Anolis sagrei: one gene and its partners. The protein of the gene in region 1 binds, or shares a complex with, the protein of each later gene. Links are inferred from orthologs where the notes say so. Each region holds a gene or a part of one and is shown on either strand. Other genes may lie near its edges.

Region 1 (7,448 bases):
TAAGAGGCCTGAAAACTTGTACCGTATTGACCTTTCCTCAGCTTCATGGCTTGCTAAAATGCCTAAAGCAAATTCTGTTGTGACTGATGCTCAACCTAAACCAACTCAAATTAACCAAACCTCTCCTTCTGATAAGGAAGGAAGAAAGTTGGATGCTATGGCCAAAAAGTTCTACTCCTCAGCATGCCTCTTTGCACGCATGGCTCACTATGGAGTATACATGAGTGTATACCAGACTGCCTTGTGGAACAAAATTGCTCCCTATCTAGACCTGTTACCACCAACTGAACAACCTCTAGCCACAGCTTTTAAACAAGAAGCTCTCCTTTTGGCCTCCCTACAAAAAGACCTCTCCAAAAATATTGCTGACACCGCAGGCAAACTTATTGCAGGATCAGTGGCCCTTCGTCGCCACGCCTGGCTAAGAGCAGCTATCCTTTCTCAATCACAACGCACCCTGATTGAAAATCTCCCCATGGATGAGGCAGGCCTTTTCAATCCTGAAACAGACTCTCAGTTAAAACACTCCCATGAAATGAAACAAACAGTATACAAGTATGACCATCAACCATACTCCTACCAACGCCAACGATGGGGCTCCTATTATTACCGTCCTCAATACTACAATAGGCCCTACAACACCTCATTCTACAGGGGACGACAAAGACCTTACAACCCCTCCACATCATCAAGACGACCGCCCCTACCTTCCAGAGGTCAGTACCGTGGTACCAGGCCCCCCAATACCAACAAACGCCGTTTTTAGCACACCTACACTTACCGACACTCCCTCACCACCCCACACCCAACCGCTTACATACCTTGACAGACTACATACCTTCCTTCCGACATGGCAGTCCATAACCACAGACACCTGGGTCTTGGACATCGTTGAAAGGGGTTATGCCATAGAATTTGACAATTATCCCCCAGTGGGTAATGTACTGCTAACACCACCTTCCCAAATCATTTGGGAAGAGATTCACTCTCTCCTCCAAAAGGGCGCCATCTCGCCTACTCCCTCACAAGATTCAGACATCTGTTTTTTCTCCCGTTACTTCCTGGTGGACAAGAAAGATGGTGGTCTACGCCCCATCCTTGATCTACGTAAACTCAACACTTTCATTACACCACGTAAATTTCATATGGTGACACTCCCCAAAATCCTTCCCTTCATTCCCAAGGACTCATGGTTAGCCACGATTGACCTTCGAGACGCCTACTTCCATATTTCAATTAGACACTCCCACCGCAGGTTCCTTACCTTTGCGGTCCAAAACAAACTATTCTCTTTTAATTCTCTCCCGTTCGGACTTTCCACATCTCCAAGGGTATTCACCAAATGCATGTCTGTTATAGCCGCACACCTCCGCCAGCAAGGCATCACAGTTTTTCCTTACCTGGATGACTGGATGTTTTGCTCATCCTCTCGATCACAACTGTGCAAGGATACTGATTATACTTTATCTCTTTTACAGGATCTGGGTCTGGTTGTGAATCACGAAAAATCTCACCTGACCCCAACACAACGTATCCAATTTATAGGAGCCATAATAGACTCCACACTTCAGAAGGCCTTCCTCCCAGAAGATCGCTTCCTAAATCTGTGTCAGGCTATCCTAACCCTACAACAATCCCGCCAAACATCAGCTTGGGCTATCCAATCTATCCTTGGCCATATGGCTTCTACCACAAGTGTAACACCCTTTGCCCGTCTAAGAATGAGACCCCTCCAAAGTTGGTTTCTCAAAGCGTTCGACCCCCTTCACGAACCCCAGTCACGGGTCCTAAAACCACCACCCCCTGTCCTCCAGTCACTCTCATGGTGGACAAAGCAATACAATGTTCTCTCGGGGATGCCATTCAACCATCCCCGTCCCTCCATGTCCCTCACAACCGACGCCTCCAACTCAGGTTGGGGAGCACATCTCAAGGGATTCCAGATCAGTGGCCACTGGTCCCCACAAGAGCAGAAGCTCCACATCAATGCCTTAGAAATGATGGCAGTGGAGAAGGCTCTTCGGGCCTTCACACGCATTGTGTCCAATCATGTCATACAAATAATAACAGACAACACCTCTGTCAAATACTACATCAACAAACAGGGAGGAACACGCTCACGCACACTCCTCCACATCTCACAACAAATTTGGGAGTGGTGCATTCTGAAGAATGTCCTCCTCACAGCCATCCACTTACCAGGCCAGGACAACATCCTGGCGGACTCTCTAAGCAGATCCTCAAAAAACAACCACGAGTGGCATCTCCACCCCAGACAGTTCAAAGCCCTCACACGCAAGTGGGGCGAACCCAGAATAGACCTATTTGCATCTCCAATAAACAACCACTGCCCACTCTACTGCGCACGGCTCCACCCTCGCGCATCCCAAGGTTGTCTCGGGGACGCCTTCCTATTCCAATGGTCGCCCGGCCTCCTCTACCTCTTCCCACCGCTCCCCCTCCTATCCCCAGTCATAGCCAAAATAATTCAGGACAACACGGACTGCATTCTAATCACACCCTGGTGGCCACGACAACATTGGTTTGCCCCCCTTCTCCAAATTTCCAACAAACAATACCTCCACCTCAGCCAAACCCCGGACCTTCTCACAGTAGAGAACGGCCTGGTCCTACACCCCGACCTGCAATCTCTACGCCTAACGGCGTGGAGAATCAAACCACACTAGACCTTTCTGATGAAGTCTCCCGTATACTTTTGGCGGCCCATAAACCTGCCACCAAGAAGTCATATGACTATAAATGGGCCTCTTTCAAATCCTTTGCTCACTCACTGGGACACAACCCTATCTCTGCCCCAGTTCCCTTTGTTTTAGACTTCCTTGTCCACCTTTCCGACAAAGGTTTCTCCCTTTCTTCGGTGAAATGCTACCTGTCAGCCATTTCATTTTTCCGAAGGAAGTCCGGGCTGCCGTCCCTTTTTCAGGACCATCTGGTACAGTTGTTTCTTAAGGGCTACAAAAATATCCACCCTCCTGTCTCCCCCCCTCCCCCCCAGTGGAGCCTGGAGCTAGTGCTATCCCAATTATCCAAACCACCATTTGAACCTATGGCCTCTAATGATATCTCCCACCTGTCGTGGAAGACGGCCTTTCTTGTGGCCATTACTTCAGCTAGGAGAGCCAGCGAACTCGCGGCCCTCCGTTCAGACCCTCCTTATGTGAGATTCCACCCTGACAAGGTTGTCCTCCGCACCGATGTCACGTTCCTTCCTAAGGTGGTCTCTCATTTTCATATGTCACAAGACATTGTTCTACCAAATTTTTTCCCCAACCCAGTTGGAGGTAGTTCTGCACTCCCTTGATGTTAAAAGAGCACTCTCCTTTTACTTACATAGAACTTCCGTTTATAGGAAGTCTCCCAGATTGTTTTTGAAATACAGGAAAGACGTACTTGGCCAGCCTGTGTCCTCCCAAGGACTGGCCTCCTGGATTGTTGCAACCATCCGTCTAGCCTACCAGCTCGCAGGGAAAGAACCTCCATCCCACCTCGTGGGACATTCAACCCGCTCTGTGTCTACATCTCAAGCATTCCTCAAGGGAATTCCCTTGGATCAGATTTGCAAAGCAGCTACGTGGGCTACGCCGTCCACGTTCGCCGCTCACTACAAGCTTGACATACAGGCAAAGCAAGATGCTAGCTTCGGCAGAGCAGTTCTTTTCTCCTGTGTGGCATGACCCACCTCCAGGTCAGTAGCTTGCTATTCACCCATAGGTGCGCATTTCACGGACGACACGAAGAATAAATAAAGGTTGCTTACCTGTAACCGTATTTCTTCGAGTGTCAGTCCGTGAAATCCGCACGACCCGCCCGTCCTCCCCTCTGTCATGCCATTCTCCTGGCTGCTGTTTAGCGCTGGGAACTAGATAATGGCGGCGCCGCTCGGCGCTTATATCCAGGGGGGCGGGGGAATGGGCGGGGCCTAGGTGGCTCAAATAATCATTTTTAATTCTTTAAACTTAGAAATGTTCCGAGTTTCTGCGCATGCGCAAAGAAGAACCCATAGGTGCGGATTTCACGGACTGACACTCGAAGAAATACGGTTACAGGTAAGCAACCTTTATTTTCTCGATGTTCAATGACAGGCCGAGTTTCTCGTATGCTTCTGCAACATTACAGTTATGAAGTAGCAATGAAAACAATTTTATGGTTGGCAGGTCACCACAACATGATGAACTAACTGCATGAAGGGGTGGCGGGATTGGGAAGGTTAAGAGCCACGGCTCTACTTGAGGAAGGAAAGCAAGCGATTGGGCGAAACCCTTCCAGGGCAGGGCCAGCAGGGGGCGCTCTTCCGCAGGGATTGCCCCTGGCCAACCGTGGGCGCTGCTGCTGCTGCTGGGCGGCGGGTGTTGACGGGCGCGCGGCGAGCTCCGCCCCGTTTCCCTCCCTCCCTCCCTCCCCCTCCCGAGGGGCGGGGCCTCTCCTGGCTCAGGCGCGGAGCGGCAGAAGCGGCGGAGGCGGGAGCGATGCAACAAGTGTCCCGCGAGCAGAGCGGGGGCCCTTTAAGTCCCGGAAGGCCGGCGCGCGCCTCGATGGTGCCGGCTTGGGCTCCGAAGCGGCGATGAGTGACAAGAGCAGCGAGGCGGCGGGCATCACCTTCTCGGTGCCCAGCCTGGTCGGGGGCGGATGCCCGCTGCTGCTCTGCGAGGACGCCTTCGGGAGGAAAACCGGGGCCGGGGCGGGCGGAGCGGGGTCCTCGCGGGCAGCTCCGCCCGGCGCCTTCTGGAACGAGGAGAGCGGCCACGGGAGCACCACCGTCGCCTGCGAGGCCGGGGCCCGGTCCCGGGGGGCCCGCCGGACCACGGTGTCGTACGTGATCAACGAGGCCAGCCCGGGCGCCGTCCTGCAGGCGGAGAGCGGGGCCCTGCAGAGCCTGCGCGAGGCGTGCGAGACCGTGGGCGCCGAGCTCCAGGCGCTCCACTTCGGGAAGCTCGACTTCGGAGAGACCGCTGTCCTCGACCGATTCTACAACGCCGGTGAGGCAGGCCCCCCTCCCCTCCCTCCCCCCTCCCTCTTCTCCCGCCCTCCTTGCGTCTCCACTGGAGGACGAACGCGCCTTGGCAGCCCTCCCTCCATGCTGGGGAATCCCCGACTTGCAAACATCCCACTTGCAAACGACTCACAGTTCAGAACGGGGCGGAGACAACAGGAAGTGAGGGAAATCAATGTATTGTCAAGGCTTTCATGGCCGGAATCAGGAGCTCCCCGTGGCGCGATGGGTTAAACCCTTGTGCCAACAGAACTGAAGACCAGCAGGTCGGAGGTTCGAATCCGGGGAGAGCGCGGATGAGCTCCCTCTGTCAGCTCCAGCTCCCCATGAGAGGAAGATGGTAAAACATCAAAACATCCGGGCGTCCCCTGGCAACGTTCTTGCAGACGGCCAGTTCTCTCACACTAGAAGTGACTTGCAGTTTCTCAAGTCACTCCAGACACGAAAACAACAACATGGCCGGAATCACTGGGTTGTTATAAGTTTCCCAGGCTGTATGGCCATGTTCCAGAAGCATTCTCTCCTGATGTTTCACCTGCATCTATGGCAGGTATCCTCAGAGGTTGTGAGGCTTGGTCTCAGGCCCCATCCTTTCCCCCCTCTGAGGATACCTGCCATAGATGCAGGTGAAACATCAGGAGAGAATGCTTCTGGAACATGGCCATACAGCCTGGGAAACTTACAACAACCCAGTGAGAGAAATCTTCCCTTTCAGAAGGGAAATTTGCTCCTGAAAGAGTTGTTGTCAGAGCGGAAAGGTGTCTCCGCTGAACCTTTCTCACCCGTCCTTCAAATGAAATTTCCCAAAATGATCACAGGGACAGAAATCGAGGTGAAATCTCCCGAACAGGGGCACAGGCAGCAAAGGAAATGCCACTGGGATGTTCACTCTTCCATAGGCTATCCAAAGTATTCCCCTGACGTTAAGTCTAGTTGTGTCTGACTCTGGGGGTTGGTGTTCATCTCCTTTTCTAAGCCAAAGAGCCAGCGTTGTCCGTAGACGCCTCCAAGGTCATGTGACCAGCATGACTGCATGGAGCACCATTACCTTCCCGCCTAAGCGGTACCTATTGATCTTCTCACATTTGCATGTTTTCAAACTGTTAGGTTGGCGGAAGCTGGGGCTAACAGCAGGAGCTCACCCCACTCCCTGGATTCGATGTGCCAACCTTTTGGTCAGCATGTTCAGCAGCTTAGCATTTAACTTGCTGCGCCACCAGGAGCTCCAGGATATCCAAAGCTTGCATAATAGATATTGCTGGAGATTGGCATTTAAGAAGGGTACCTGTTCAGACTTCACACATTCAATTTAAGAACAAGCCCACAGAACCCCTCTCATTTGTCACATGGGGACTGCCTATACTGGAAGGGGTGCCTTTACACTGGACCAGGAGTGTACAAGGGAATCCTGGGATTTGTAGTTTTACAAGAATTTGCAGTTATGAGTGCAGATTCATGCTGCTTGAACTGTTGTGGACTTCCTATGGAGTTGCACTTTGGCGAGGCAACCAGCCCTCTTTGGCTAAAAAAGACTTAATGAAACCACCAGCCCTTCCAGACAGGCACTTTATCCCAGAATCTGATCCGAGGTTTTCTCTTTGTCCCAGATTATCTGGCAGTGAAGACTCATATAATCCACTTTAAAGCAGAAAACCTGGGATCAGATCCTGGAATATAGGGCCTTTCTGGAAGGGCACTACGACACCAATGATTGCATATCATTGAGCCAGAGCTGTTAAAGCGACATCAAACTGCATTATTTCTGCTGTGGAGATCAGGGAGCCTTCCAGCTGTCTGGGACTCCAGCTCCCACAGTTCTTGACAATTGAGCAAGTTGGCTAGGGCTTCTGGGAGTTGGAGGCCCAAACAGCTGGAGAGCTGCAGTTTGAAGACACTTGGTGTAGATGCAAACAGTCTTTCTTCCCTGTCAGCACAGGAGGGCCAAGGGAGGCAAGGCACTTCCTTGACTGCAGATGAGAGATACTGAAGGGGAAGGGAGTCCCCTTCCTTCAGCACTTCCAACCCCTTCCTAATATAATAATTCTTGTGTACCTGCAGTGGAACCTGTTGGAGTATAATCCCTGGAATGGCCTCCTTTATCTCTAAGGCCTGGCACTAGAATTTTGCCCCCTTTCCTGATTTTGGAAGATTTTCATATGCATAATGGAAATGGGACACAAGCCTCAGCACCAAATACATTTTTGTTTCATATTATACACCTTATCCAGGGCCCTGGTGGCACAGTGGGTTAAACCACTGAGCTGCTGAACTTGCTGACTGAAAGGTTGGTGATCCAGATCCAGGGAGTGGGGTGAGCTCCTGCTGTTAGCCCCAACTTCTGCCTACCTAGCAGTTCAAAAACATGCAAATGTGAGTAGATCAATAGATACTGCTTCGGCGGGGAGGTAACGGCGCTCCATGCAGTCATGCCTGCCAT
Region 2 (7,964 bases), on another chromosome or scaffold:
TCAGCTGTGACCAGCAGTGCTGCGGAATTCGAAGCTGCACGAATGAAGGGCTAAAGGGAGAAACATGCCAAAAGGAAGGTGCATCAAGCCAACCCTGACAGGGACCGCTTTCCACCTGGAAACCAATGTCCTCACTGCAGAAGATCAAGAATAGGGCTCCACAGCCACTTACGTATCCACCGCCAAGACACGACACTTGAAGGGCCATCATCCTCAAGCTACAAGGGATCGCCTAAGTCAAAGTATAAACATACCAATCTTGACTATTTTAGTTGTGTAAAAAGTTTTGCAACACTTCAAAGACAGGATACATTGCTGTAAGCTTAGGGGTGGCTTCAGAATAATAATAATAATAATAATAATAATAATAATAATAATAATAATAATAATAATAATAACCTTTATTTGTACCCCACTACCATCTCTCCAAGAGACTCGGTGAGGCTTACATGAGGCCAAGCCCACAATACATCAATAAACAAAACATCAATAAAACAATCAATACAATACAAATCGTATAAATCACATTAAAAAGGCAATAACCAATCAACAGTGACATATAAGCATTTAAAACCAATGGCCAGGCCAAATGTAATAGATTAAAAATTAAAAATAATGCTGATGTGAACAAGGTAGGATATAACTGGGATAGGATTTACAGAGAGAAATGAGGGAACGCAGTCAATCCTAAATCAATGGTAAAGTGCATTTTGAGGGCATATTGCGGAGAGTTTTCCTTATTCTGGGAAGGCACACTGGAACAACCATGTTTTCAGGCTCCTCCTAAAGACTGACAGAGTTGGGGCATGTCTGATGTCCCTGGTAAGTGAGTTCCAGAGTCGGGGAGCCACCACCAAGAAGGCCCTCTCCCTCGTCCCCACCAATCGCGCCTGCAAAGGAGGTGGGAGCGTGAGCAGGGCTTCTCCAGATGATCGAAGAGATCGTGTGGGTTCATACACAGAAATGCGGTCACTGAATCTCCATACACTGACCTCTGTCTGTTCAATATTAGCAATTAAGTAACACACTTCAACATTTTCAAACAAGGAACATATTTTTTTGAAATTTTGTTACATAGTGGTAACTTAGCAACCAGAACAGATTTTCTGTGGCATTCATAATTATGGATTCAATCCATAGATAGAGTAAAGTGAAGCTACCAGTAGGTGGTGCTGTTGGCCAGTTAAATAACTATTGTAATGAAAATACATTTGTTTTTACCCAGCCTTTAAAGTTCATGCTGAACCCCACAGAAATTCCCCAGTGTTTTGTATAATCCGACCTCTTATAGCACTATTGAAATCATGGAGGAATTTAAAAGGGTCTGGCCCTGAAGGAGAGACCCTGCGGACCCACAAAAAAGAGGGTTCGCTACAATGGTGAGCAAAGAGAAGCCCAATTTAAAAGGTTTTTCCTAAGTTCCCAAAAGAAATCTCACCAAAGTTGAAGGAAGTGCCACCAAGATCATTTTATGGCGATTCAGCTGAAAAGGATGCAAAGCAGCAATATTTCACCAAGCTGAGCATACAGTGTACAAAAATAAAGGCCTTTTTATACATAAAACAGAGCTGCCAGGTTTGAATCTCCCATTCCCCGCCCCTCTGCCGGCTCGACGATGATTGGCTGGCGCTCTACAGCTGGGAGGAGGCTTGGCCACCTCCTGAGCACCTGGGCCAATCGCTGGGCTTCTGCCGTCTTGGCATCCTGACAAATCAGGAGGGAGGCGGGACGAGAGGGAAACAATGGATTCTTGGGAGGATTATGGAGGTAGGAAATGTCCAAACGGCCAACGAGTCCTGGGGCGTGCGAGCCAGCCATTCCTATTGTCATTGAGAAACGTTGATTGTCTGGCAAGCCTGCCATAATCCGGATTTTTCCAGTGCTGAGAGACAGGAACAATGAGGGAATTTTGGCTGTGGTTTCAGTGGGTAAAAGTTGAATCAGTAACAGAATAGGACAAATTGAGATATGATCATAAATGCCAAGTTGAGATATGATCATAAATGCCAAGTGACCGCTTCCTCTGGGGGGCCAACTCCAAGGCCAGAGGTCACAGTCCTTTGTTATTGTCCATGCAAATAGTGTCTTTTGATAAGGGTCTTTTTCAACTGGAGATTTCCTTCTTTCCAGGGTCACAGGGGTGGCTTCTTATATTTTTATACATTTTTCAATAAAGGGGAATTGGGCAAAGGGGTCAGGAAAAGGTCAGATACACAGGGAGGAATATATAAAAATAGAAATCATGTTATAGAAAGCATACCCACTTATCCCTCCCACCAGAGTCCCATAGAAGTTCAAGAGAGCACATAAGTGTAAAGGGAGGTGGTTTCTCAGCAATAAATGTGCTTTTTTTTGTTGTGTCAGGAGCGACTTGAGAAACTCACTTCTGGTGTGAGAGAATTGGCCGTCTGCAAGGACGTTGCCCAAGGACACCTGGATGATTTTGATGTTTTTATCCTTGTGGGAGGCTTCTCTCATGTCCCCACATGAGGAGCTGGAGCTGATAGAGGGAGCTCATCTGCCTCTCCCCTGTCGGTCTTCAGTCCTGCCGGCACAGGGGTTTAACCCACTGCGCCACCAGGGGCTCCACTATAAATGTGCTACCTTCTGCTATATATGAAACCTAGGGAATAAAAACTTGATTAAATGTACGCACTATCTAACATGGGAAGAGTCCTTGTTGTTGTTAGTGTCTTGGCAAATTGACCAAGGCTTAACCCACCGCCTCCTCCTGAGAAAAATGTATAATATCACAAAGGACTACCACCTCACCCGCCTCATAGGAAACCTGCTACAAAACAGGAGCTTTTTTGTTGAGTTCAGGGCCAGAGAAGCAGATGGCGGAAACAGAAGAACGGCCTGCCTCAGGGGAGCGTGCTTGCTCCATCCATGTTCAACATCTACACAGATGACCAGCCACTGCCAGAAGGGACAGAGAGCTTCATCTATGCTGATGATCGTGCCATTACCACTCAAGCAGGGAGCTTTGAGATGGTTGAAGATAAGTTCTCAGAAGCTATAGGTGCTCTTACTGCCTATTACAGGGAAAACCAACTGATCCCTAATCCATCTAAAACACAGACATGCGCCTTTCACCTTAAGAACAGACAAGCATCCCGAGCTCTGAGGATTACCTGGGAAGGAATCCCACTGGAGCATTGCAGCACACCCAAATACCTGGGAGTCACTTTGGACCGTGCTCTGACCTACAAGAAGCACTGCCTGAACATCAAGCAAAAAGTGGGTTCTAGAAACAACATCATACGAAAGCTGACTGGCACAACCTGGGGATCACAACCAGACACAGTGAAGACATCTGCCCTTGCGCTATGCTACTCTGCTGCTGAGTATGCATGCCCAGTGTGGAACACATCTCACCACACTAAAACAGTAGCTGTGGCTCTTAATGAGACATGCCGCATTATCACGGGGTGTCTGCGCCCCACACCACTGGAGAAATTACACTGCTTAGCCGGTATTGCACCACCTGACATCCGCCGGGAAGTAGCAGCCAATAGTGAAAGGACCAAGGCAGAGACATCTCCAGCTCATCCCCTGTTTGGGTATCAGCCAGCACGTCAACGACTTAAATCAAGACATAGTTTTCTTAGATCTACAGAGACACTCGCTGGAACACCCCAGCAAGCGAGAGTCCAAAAGTGGCAGGCCCAAACCCAGCACCTCAATCCATGGGTGATACCAGATGAGAGACTCCCCCCTGGGCACACAGAAGACTGGGCGACTTGGAAGGCGCTGAACAGACTGCGCTCTGGCACCACGAGATGCAGAGCCAATCTTAAGAAATGGGGTTACAGGGTGGAATCCTCGGCATGCGAGTGCGGAGAAGAGCAAACCACTGACCACCTGCTGCAATGCACCCTGAGCCCTGCCACATGCACAATGGAGGACCACCTTGCGGCAACACCAGAGGCACTCCAAGTGGCCAGGTACTGGTCCAAGGACATTTAACCAACTACCAAGTTTGCAAAATCTGTGGGTTTTTTTTTAATCTGTGTATTTGTTTTGTTGTGTTAGAATTGTAACACAATGGTATGGTTGCTGATGACACGATAAATAAATTTATTTATTTATTTATTTATTTATTTACAGTTCTTATATTCCGCCCTTCTCACCCCGCAGGGGACTCAGGGCGGATTACAGTAAACACATATATGGCAAACATTCAATGCCAGTTTGACAAACAACATTTAACAGACAAATACACCGAGGCTATTTAACTTTTTTCTGGCCGCCAGGGGAGTTGCTGCTTTTCATCATCCATCAACAACACCGATGAAGTTCTTCCGCATTCCACATTCCCCGGAGTCTTTTTTCTTTATGGCCTCATAAATTAGTTAAATTTAGCCTCCCACACAAGGTGGTACCTTATTTTCCTACTTGACAGATGCAACTGTCTTTCGGGTTGCAAAGGTCGACAACGGGCTACACAATGGCTGGACACCCACTCCAGCCCGGGCTGGCTTCGAACTCATGACCTTTTTGGTCAGAGTGATCTTAATGCAGCTGACACTCAGCCAGCTGCGCCACAAACCCGTATTATCAAGTCTCATGTGCTTGTCCTTAGCAAAACTATAAGTTACTATCTTTTATGGGGGGGGGGGGGTCATGTTCGACTTCAGTAATCTGTAGTTGCCATCTCACTTTGCGTACTGGATTGTGCCGCCCCTGTCCCAACTCATTCTCCAGGTGTAACCAAGGCTTCTATCCTTGAAGATGAAGGAAGGATGTAGAAAGCTATCGATGCACGAAGTTTCTGTTTTCAGCGACACAGGAAATCCGTGTTTACGGCACGACTTCTAGCCCCAGAAGCTTCCCTCCTTGGCACTTCTGCAGACGAGAAGCCATGTGTGCAAATGCGCACAAACCCGTTCCTCTAGTCAAGAGGGAAGTCAGTTTCTGGTGACTTTGTAAACCGGAAAAAAAAAGAGAAAAGGACAGTGGCTTTCAGCGCAGGGCAATCTGTGACATCTCAGGGCGGTTTGGCCCAGAAGAAGCAGGAAGGCAGTGTTGTGGAGGTGGCTCGGCCTTTTCATCGAGACGGAGAAACCCTACCAGCATGAACCCCGAAGAGCAAATTGTGACCTGGTTGATTTCACTGGGAGCCTTGAACTCCCCGAAAATGAAGGTCGGGGACCCCCTGCAATTCCTCAAAACGTCCCTCAAAGATGGAGTCGTCTTGTGCAAACTCCTTCTCCGACTCCTTCCAGGATCTATAGAGAAGGTAAGGCAGCGTTTCTCAACCTGGGGGTCGCAAGGGCAGGGGCGGCTCAACCATTACGCAAAGTAAGCCTTTGCAGTATAGTTGATTTTGGCCAGGGGCGCTCTTGAGGCGCTCTTGGGGGAAAATAGACCTTGAGGTCTTTCCAAGTTGTGGTCTCATAGGAAATGCTTGTGGCTTGACTACTGCAATGCATTTTTGTTTACGGGCGGCCCTTGGAGACCTCGTGAGAGGCTTCAGTAGGTTGAGAAGTGTTGAAAGGGACGGCAGTGGAGCCATCTAACAGGAAAAGGCCTTCATTGGGTTCCTTTATAGAGCCTAACCCATGAGATCAGTACAAACCACTGTCTCATGTACCCACATCTGACAAAATATGCCCTCACTAGGCATTTACTTGGTCCTCCACAGGGGCGGCTCAACCATTACACAAAGTAAGCCTTTGCAGTATAGTTGATTTTGCCCAGGGGCGCTCTTGAGGCGCTCTTGGAGGAAAATAGACCTTGAGGTCTTTCCAAGTTGTGGTCTCATAGGAAATGCTTGTGGCTTGACTACTGCAATGTATTTTTGTTTACGGGCGGCCCTTGGAGACCTCGTGAGAGGCTTCAGTAGGTTGAGAAGTGTTGAAAGGGACGGCAGTGGAGCCATCTAATAGGAAAAGGCCATCATTGGGTTCCTTTATAGAGCCTAACCCATGAGATCAGTACAAACCACTGTCTCATGTACCCACATCTGACAAAATATGCCCTCACTAGGCATTTACTTGGTCCTCCACAGGGGCGGCTCAACCATTACGCAAAGTAAGCCTTTGCAGTATAGTTGATTTTGCACAGGGGTGCTCTTGAGGTGCTCTTGGGGGAAAATAGACCTTAACATATGCAAGTTGTAGTTACTGGGATGTATAGTTCACCTACAACCAAAGAGCATTCAGAACTCCACCAATGATATAATTGGACCAAATATGGCACACAGAACTCCCACGACGAACAGAAAATATATATCAGTGATTGGTTGGGTGGGTGGGTGGGGTGGGGTGGGGCGCCAAAATACTGTTTGAATACCGTTGAAAATTACCTAGGGCCGCCTCTGCGCGAGGGGGATGTCAGAGGGGTCGCCAAAGACCATCAGAAAACACAATATTTTCTGTTGTTCATGGGGCTTCTGTGAGGGAAGTTTGGCCCAATTCTATCATTGGTGGAGTTCAGAATGCTCTTTGATTGTAGGTGAACTATAAATCCCAGCAACAACTCGCAAAAGTCAAGGTTTATTTTCTCCAAACTTCATCAGTATTCATGTTTGGGCAATGTCCACCAAACCCTTTGAGTATTTTCTGTAGGTCATGGGAGTTCTGTGTGTCAAGTTTTGTTCAATTCTATTGTTGGTGGAGTTCAGAATGCGCTTTGATTGTAGGTGAACTATAAATCCCAGCAACAACTCCCAAATGTCAAGGTTTATTTTCTCCAAACTTCACCAGTATTCACGTTTGGGCAATGTCCACCAAACCTTGGAGTATGTTCTGTAGGTCATGGGAGTTCTGTGTGTCAAGTTATGTTCAGTTTTATTGTTGGTGGAGTTCAGAATGCTCTTTGATTGTAGGTGAACTATAAATCCCAGCAACAACTCCCAAATGTCAAGGTTTATTTTCTACAAACTTCACCAGTATTCACGTTTGGGCAATGTCCACCAAACCTTCAAGTATGTTCTGTACGTCATGGGAGTTCTGTGTGTCAAGTTTTGTTCAATTCTATCGTTGGTGGAGTACAGGTTAACTATAAATCCCAGCAACTCCAACTCCCAAATCACAAAATCAATCTCCCCCAACCCCAACAGCATTCAAATTTGGATGCATCAGATATTTGTGCTAATGTGGTCCAGTGAATGAAAATACATCCTGCATAGCAGATATTTACATTATGATTCATAACAGTAGCAAAATTACAGTTATGAAGTAGAAATGAAAATAATGTTATGGTTGGGGGTCACCACAACAAGAAAGGAGATTCCATCTGAACATGAGGAAGAACTTCCTGTCTGTAAGAGCTGTTCAGCAGTGGAACTCTCTGCCCCAGAGTGTGGTGGAGGCTCCTTCTTTGGAGGCTTTTAACCAGAGGCTGGATGGCCATCTGTCAGGGGTGCTTTGAATGCAATATTCCTGCTTCTTGGCAGGGGGTTGGACTGGATGGCCCATGAGGTCTCTTCCAACTCTAGGATTCTATGATTCTATGATTCCTACTTGGCCGCAGAAATCCATCGGGAAAGTCACACTCTCTCAGCCTCAGAGGAAAGGGAAAGCCATTTGCCTCTAAACAATATTTATGAATATTTGCCTTAGAGTCATCATAAATCGCCAAGCACCTTGAAAGAACATCCACGGCATTCCCCGCACCTATCCAGCTTGTAACTCTATCGAAAAAAGAGATCAGATGCGTCCGGCATGACTTGTTTTTGATAAATCCATGTTGACTATTAGCGATGACCGCATTTGTTTCTAAGTGTTTGCAGACCACTTCCTTAACAATCTTTTCCAGAATCTTGCCTGGTATCGACGTGAGGCTGACCGGATGGTAATTGTTTGGGTCATCCTTGTTTTGCTTCTTGAAGATTGGGACCACATTGGCCTTCCTCCAATCTGCTGGAACTTCTCCCGTTCTCTAAGAACTCTCAAAGATGATTGCCAATGGTTCCGAGATTACTTCTGCTAGTTCCTTCAATACTCTCGGGTGTAGTT
Region 3 (7,390 bases), on another chromosome or scaffold:
TAACACATTATCCATAAATTACCAATAAGCCATTACAATGCACAATTATTACAAAAAACAACAACCGTCCCCAATCTTCTCCTCATCCAAGCGTAGTCCAGGTTCGCCGTCCATTGTTCCATTCCTATGTTCCATTACCAGATTGCACTAAATTACTCAAACGCCTGCACAAACATCCAGGTCTTCACCTTTTTGCGGAATACCATTAGAGATGGTGCTAGTCTAATGTCCGTAGGAAGGGCGTTCCACAGCCGAGGAGCCACCACCGAGAAGGCCCTATCTCTCGTCCCCGCCAGCCGAGCTTGAGAAGCAGGCGGGATCGAGAGCAGGGTCTCCCCGGAAGATCTCAAACTCCTGGTGGGTTCATAGGCAGAAATGCGGTCAGATAGGTAACTTGGGCCGGAACCGTTTAGGGCTTTAAAGGCCAACGCCAGCACTTTGAATTCAGCCCGGTAGCAGATCGGTAGCCAGTGGAGTTGGCGCAACAGGGGGGTTGTATGCTCCCTGCGCTCCGCTCCTGTTAAAATCATGGCTGCCGAGCGTTGGACTAGTTGGAGCTTCCGAGCTGTCTTCAAAGGCAACCCCACGTAGAGAGCGTTGCAGTAGTCTAAACGGGATGTAACCAGAGCGTGGACTACCGTGGCCAAGTCAGACTTCCCAAGGTATGGGCGCAGCTGGCGCACAAGCTTTAGCTGTGCAAATGCTCCCCTGGTCACCGCCGAAACCTGGTCACCGCCGAAAATAATGTCCAGCTCAAAATGCTGAGACGCACATGGAATTCGATGTCTTTTGGGTTGTATACATTTTGTTCACATGGATGTATTGTTGTTGTATTCAGGCATTGAAAGTTTGCCTTTTATGTTTAGAATTGTGACGATGTGTAAGTTTTATTGCTTTGGTTATGGGTAGTTTGGATAGTGGTTTAGGGATGGTAAGTATGGGAGATTATGTTTTGTTGGAGATGGTGGCTTGGCGTTAGCTGAGTTGCCATAGCAACAGGGGCGGAGCCAACTGCCTCTTGAGGAGGCAGCTATTTTAAAAAGTCAGCCAGTGGCCGGAGAGCTACTGAGAGGACTGAGTCTCTGGGTGGAGATTCAGGGAATGTGTCTGTAGCCGGTGTGCTATAGGAAAGACTGGATCTCAGGGTGGAGATTCAGGGAATCAATTGGTGACCAAAGTGGTTGCAGAGAAGGACCCGGTAGTGAGAGAGCTACAGGGGGTTGTTGATTCTGAATTAAGAATCAAGGTTTGGCTGGGTTTAAGCCTGCTGTTCCTGTGGTGAAACGTTTTGAAGTCTGTGCCTGAGATTACTCATGAAACCTTTCCAATGTAACCATCAAGATTTGTGCCTCTTGAGAAGAAACAGTTAAATATGTTATACTCCTGTTAAAATAAACTTGTTACTGTTTTCCTGAAGCCTTGCCTGATACAGTTTCTCCTAAGTTGAACAGCCTGCAATAGTAAAGTCAGCCAGAAACAGTAAACGCTACGCTATCCACTGAATAAGACCTTCTGTCATTAACAGTCCCTTTATAAAATAGTTCCTAGGCTGATATTGATCGTTGCCCGGCTTCCCTCATAGATTAGTGGGTGTTTTACCACTCGCACCTTCACATTTGGTGGCATTCGGTGGGATTAAAACGGTCTTCTTTACAAGAATCCATCCTGTGTCCCTCTGGGGAGATAGAGCAGAATATAAAGAAATTTTTATTATTATTATTATTATTATTATTGAAAAATAAAAATCAGCATGATTTCCAATCTCAATAGTACCATTCCCGCCTCTCCAACTTCTGTAACGTGGCAGTGGCAATCCTTATTCTGCTCGCTCCATCTCTCTCCAAATACCCATCCTAGTTATATGTCACCTTGTCATGCCCAGCATTTTTTATAATTTTAATTATTACATTTGGCCCTGCCATAGGTTTTTAATGCGCCGTGGTGTTATTGTTACTGTTTATTGCTTTGTTTATGAGTTTATGCATTATCTGTATTGCTGTTGTTGCTGTTTTTACTGATGTATTTCGGCTTGGCATCTTGTAAGCCTCACCGAGTCCTTCGGGAGATGGTAGTGGGGCATAAATAAAGGTTTATTATTAATATTATTATTATTAGTCCTGTACCGTCCCACTTTACAGCTGTTTTTCAAACGTCCCAGTTTCTCTCGCCTCCTTCCATTTTCCTCCTTTGTCCTCAGCTTTCCTTTGTGGCTGCAAACAGAATTGAAGATGCAAAAGTGCTATATGCACCAGGCCTGGGCAAACTTGGGCCCTCCAGGTGTTTTGGACTTCAACTCCCACAATTCCTAACAGCCTACCGGCCCTCCAGGTGTTTTGGACTTCAACTCCCACAATTCCTAGCAGCCTACTGGCTGTTAGGAATTGTTGGAGTTGAAGTCCAAAACACCTGGAGGGCCCAAGTTTGCCCAGGCCTGGTATAGACCCAATGATTTCAATGGGCACTTCCCTGGTGGTTCAGGCAAAAGCAAACAGCTGCTGTCTTTCCTAGTTGTGCTTTGCCACATTGACCACAACCAGGTATATTTGATCTCACATGCCCCAATTTCCATTTGCAGAATGTCAGTCCATTTGGTGTTGCAGGACGCCCAGTATATTTTGGGGGGGAGGGCAAATGCAAATACTTGCAAGGGTCTGGCATGCCCAGGGCAGATTGCAGTTTTTCCCAAAGGAGGAATAGGTACAAGTAAGAGAAAGAAAGAGTTCCTCCTCCTCCTTGTCTGTGCCTCTCGGAGTCATCTGTCGCCCAGCTGTGCCTTTGCTCCTTTGACCTGAACTTGGTGCGTTGATTGGCCATTCCTGGCCTTCAGAAAGTTACTTGTGGGTTTTGGGGGAGGAACGCTGCAAAATCTGGCATGGACTTTCCAGGAATATTTATTGCTTTCTGGTGAACCTTTGCTCCGCGTGTCTTTGGTGCATGGGAGAAAATTCAGTCTCAATTCGTTTTTTGATGCTAGTGGGTGAGCATTTGCAAATTTCACCATGTGGTGGAAGGATAGAAGGGAATCTCAATGTGCAAGGTTCACATGTCAGCCCAAGCTGTGAATGGGTTAGACCAACTGCAGAAGCAAGAGAAGGCTGAGCTGAATGGAGCTCCTTTTTGTTCATATGCCAACAGAGAGAGCCTCCATATGCAGGGGCAGTGTACTTGGGCATAGCAGATACTTGAGAACTAAAACTTAAGGAAATGTTGTTTTTCCCACCTGTCCAGGGCCCATGAAAATGGAAAAGATGCAGGACTTGGAATGTTTTACTTTTGGGGCTACAATTCCCAGAAATATCTCCAAGATGGGAGGCACTACCATTTCTCACTTATTGAGGGATCCATCATTAAGGGGAGTAAACCTGGCCCACTTGCCTCTAGCCAGGGTATGGGCCAACTTGAAGTCCAAGTGTTTTGGACTTCAGATCCCACAACCTGGGTATGCAGATGATCCCTTGAATGACCATAGTGTTCAGTTCCAAGAGGACAAAGGCATGGGCCAACTTGGCCTTCCCTTAATGTGTTTTGGACTCTAACTCCCACAACGTGGGTATGCAGATGATCCCTTGATGGACTGAAGTGTCCAGTTCCAAGAGGACAAAGGTATGGGTCAACTTGGGCCCTCCCTCCAGGTGTTTTGGACTCCAACTCCCACAATGTGGGTATGCAGATGATCCCTTGATTGACTGAAGTGTCCAGTTTCAAGAGGACCAAGGCCTGGGCCAACTTGGTCCCTCTCTCCAGGTGTGTTGGACTCCAGCTCCCACAACGTGGGTATGCAGATGATCCCTTAATTTACTGGAGTGTCCAGTTCCAAGAGGACAAAGGCATGGGCCAACTTGGGCCAGGTGTTTTGGACTCCAACTCCCACAACGTGGGTATGCAGATGATCCCTTGCTTGACTGAAGCGTTCAATTCCCAGGGGACAAAGGCACGGGTCAACTTCAGTCTTCCCTCCAGGTGTTTTGGACCTCAACCCTCACCATTCCACATTTCTCCCTTTCACTCTCCAATCATTCCTCTTTTAATTCTGCAGCACTGCTGGTCACAGCTGACCCCCAGTTACAGTGCTCAAGGGCCAGGGCTTCCCAATTCTTGGTGCAAAGTAAGAACCGCACAATTAACAAGGAAATTACACTTTCAAACCACAAAGAGAACATTTTTTTTCAAATTTTACTACATAGTGCAACCTTTATTGATGCCCGGCCTTTCTCCCTGTAGGGACCCACAACCCCAGCCAGACCTGTTCCCGTGTGTGCTATTGCCTTGGCCTCACAAAGCAGTGGCAATCCAGTCCAGGACTTCCTCCCGCCTCAACTTGTTCCCTTTCCAAGTCCTGTTTCCTCTTTGCAGCTCCTATCTTGAAAGTGTGGGGAGGGGAGGGGGCAGGAAAGAACTCTGGGCTATGTTTATCTGGCCTGCTGAGAATGTTGGCCCTGGAGCCGGAGGAGAAGTCCCCGGCTTTTATTTCTGGACCGGCACATGCCTTGCAGGCTGGGACTCCCAGCTCTGTGATCTTTATTTATTTCCTCTCCTCCTCCTCCTCTTCCCATCCTTTATTTCTTCCTTGTCTGTAAGTGGAGAAAGTGGAAGGGTTCTGGGAGGACCCCCACCACCGTCCCCCAAAAGAGATGTCGGTGAATGGTAGGAGAAGCTCCGGCAGGCCCTCCTACTACTACCGGCTGCTGCGGAGGTCCAGGCTTCACCGGCAACGGAGCCGGTCCCGCAGCCGCAACCGGCCACTCAGCAGGGGTAACGCACTTTCTTTGTTCTTGCATGCACCTCTGGCATCTGTTGCTCAGCACCTAGAAGGCAGGTAGAGTTCGGGGCCAATGGCAGGTGTGGGACAGGTATGGAGGAGACTTGTATGGGATGCACATTCTGGTGATGGAGGAAGGATACCGTCTTTCGGGCTGCACAGAATGGAGTGTCGTGTGTTATTATTGTTAGAGTTGGACCAAAACTATTGGATTAAGAGGCATGCCAGGTAGATGGCTGAGCCACACGTTGTCCGAGATGTCTTTCCTGCCCAGTCTCATATCCGGTCCAGATTTGGTGTTAGGGAGCCTCCAAGCAATGAGCTTGTTCTTAAGTGTGCCGGGCAAATTCGAAGAGGTCCAGTTCCATCAGATTTGGTATAGCACCGGATGGGGTCACACTCCTCCTGAAGACGCAGGTTCGCAGCTCAGGTGTGATCTTGGACTCGTCACTGAGCCTGGAACCCGAGGTTTCGGTGGTGACCAGGGGAGCATTCACACAGTTAAAACTTGTGCGCCAGCTGCACCCGTACCTTGGGAAGTCTGACTTGGCCACGGTAGTCCACGCTCTGGTTACATCCCGCATAGACTACTGCAACGCTCTCTACGTGGGGTTGCCTTTGAAGACTGCTCGGAAGCTTCAAATGGTCCAGCACTTCAACTCCCACAATTGCCAGGTTGCTAACAGGAGCGCCACTCAAGGAGCATACAACTCCGCTGCTGCGCCAGCTCCACTGGCTGCCAATTTGCTACCGGGCACAATTCAAAGTGCTGGCTTTAGTCTTTAAAGCCGTAAACGGTTCTGGCCCGACCTACCTGTCCGAACGCGTCTCCGCCTATGAACCAGTTAGGACATTAAGATCGTCTGGGGAGGCCCTGCTCTCGGTCCCACCAGCTTCACAAGCGCGCAGTAGTCTATACGGGATGTCACTAGAGCGTGGACTACCGTGACCAAGTCAGACTTCCCAAGGTCTGGGCGCAGCTGGCGCACAAGTTTTAATTGTGCAAATGCTCCCCTGGTCACTGCTGAAACAATAAAATACATAATAACAATAATTATAACAATTAAAACATTACATTAATACAATAAAAAGCTAGCCTGGTGGCCATTGTTTTGCCAAGTCCATAATTAATAAATTCATTCCGCTTATCATAATCTGGTTCCAAAACTTTAGTCGTCATTGTCCATTGTCAGTCTGCCAGATTACCTAAAGGCCTGGTCCCATATCCATGTTTTTAATTTCCTTCTGAAAGAGAGGAGGGATGACGATGATCTAATTTCCCTGGGGAGTGAATTCCACAGGCGGGGGGCCACCACCGAGAAGGCCCTGTCCCTCGTCCCAGCCAATCTCATTTGTGACGAGAGCAGGGTTCCCCCAGAAGATCTTAAATTCCAAGGCGGGACGTAGAAGGAGATACATTCGGACAGGTACGCAGGGCCGGTGCCGTATAGGGTTTTATGCAAGAGGGAGGTCGTTCTGTTGCCACTTCTCTGGAAGCTGGAATGTTAAGTGGGATGCAGCCAGTTGAGCGTGTAATGACTTTTTCTATTTACATTGTAGAGAGAGCACAGCATCCTGGGAACTGTAGTTTGGGAAGGCGAGGAGCCCTATGGCAGAGAATGCAAAAGGCCTTGCCCTGAACTACATTTCCCAGAATTCCGCTCAGCATCAGAAAGCCCCAATGAGGAGGAGGAAGAGGTCCTCCTTCCTGACAGAGTCCCAATGAATGGTTGAATCCCCCAAAAATCAGTATATGTGTGAATCTCTCAGAAACTGGGAGTGAATGCTCTCCTGTCATCTTGTGTCATTGTGCAGAAAATTCAAGGAGAGTGCTCTTGTAGGGTTTTGTTAATGTTGTTTGTAAAAATTTTGAAAATTCCCCCAAAATCAGTGGAGGAGCGAAACATTCTGAAACTTGGTGGGCACACAGTGGTCACTGGGTTCTATAACCGTACCAAGTTTCATGCCAATAGCTGTAAAAATGAAGGAGAAAGGGACCCTTGAAGTGTCCTCATTGGCACAATTACTTAACGAAAAGTAACGAAAAAGCAGTGAACTCATTATAGTTATGATACGGACCCCATCCAATTTTGGAAATTCTGATTTCGTAATGAGTATTCAAATATTTTTTTAATTACTAGCCATCCCCTGCCACACGTTGCTGTGGCCCAGTCTGTGTATATGTGCTTTGTATGTATATACATGTATATATGTGTGTGTATATGTGTATATATGTGATTATGCACATGCATTGTAATGCATTTTTTATTTTTTTGGCTTTTTGCATCCCTTCTTCTGTGTTTTCCAGTGTTTTAATGAGTGATGGTCACTCATTGGCTTGAGAGGTGTCTTGTGTCTAAATTTGATTTCAGTCCGTCCGGTGGTTTTTGAGTTATGTTAATCCCACAAACTTCTGGTTTGAAGAAGAACAGCCTGCCTCAGGGGAGCGTGCTCGCTTCGTTAATGTTCAACATTTACACAAATGACCAGCCACTGCCAGAAGGGACAGGGAGTTTCATCTATGCTGATGATCGTGCCATCACTGCTCAAGCAAGGAGCTTTGAGATGTTAGAACAGAAACTCTCTGAAGCTTTAGGTGCTCTTACTGCCTATTACAGGAGAAACCAGCTG

Evidence for each region. The genes of interacting proteins can lie anywhere in the genome.
Region 2: MAP3K5 (region 1) and ARHGEF6 share a complex: the UniProt entries of both Homo sapiens proteins name them as parts of the cytoplasmic complex. The link is inferred for Anolis sagrei from reciprocal best matches to the Homo sapiens genes MAP3K5 and ARHGEF6.
Region 3: MAP3K5 (region 1) and DAB2IP share a complex: the UniProt entries of both Homo sapiens proteins name them as parts of the cytoplasmic complex. The link is inferred for Anolis sagrei from reciprocal best matches to the Homo sapiens genes MAP3K5 and DAB2IP.

What each region holds. Positions count from the first base shown.
Region 1 is NC_090021.1:79,748,040-79,755,487, forward strand, and holds the start of MAP3K5 (mitogen-activated protein kinase kinase kinase 5), read left to right. Parts: upstream 1-4,438; 5' UTR 4,439-4,582; coding exon 4,583-4,997; intron 4,998-7,448. UniProt on the Homo sapiens protein: Serine/threonine kinase which acts as an essential component of the MAP kinase signal transduction pathway. Plays an important role in the cascades of cellular responses evoked by changes in the environment.
Region 2 is NC_090030.1:25,206,558-25,214,521, reverse strand, and holds the start of ARHGEF6 (rho guanine nucleotide exchange factor 6), read left to right. Parts: upstream 1-4,947; 5' UTR 4,948-5,077; coding exon 5,078-5,242; intron 5,243-7,964. UniProt on the Homo sapiens protein: Acts as a RAC1 guanine nucleotide exchange factor (GEF).
Region 3 is NC_090031.1:2,168,216-2,175,605, reverse strand, and holds the start of DAB2IP (disabled homolog 2-interacting protein), read left to right. Parts: upstream 1-4,373; 5' UTR 4,374-4,631; coding exon 4,632-4,752; intron 4,753-7,390. UniProt on the Homo sapiens protein: Functions as a scaffold protein implicated in the regulation of a large spectrum of both general and specialized signaling pathways.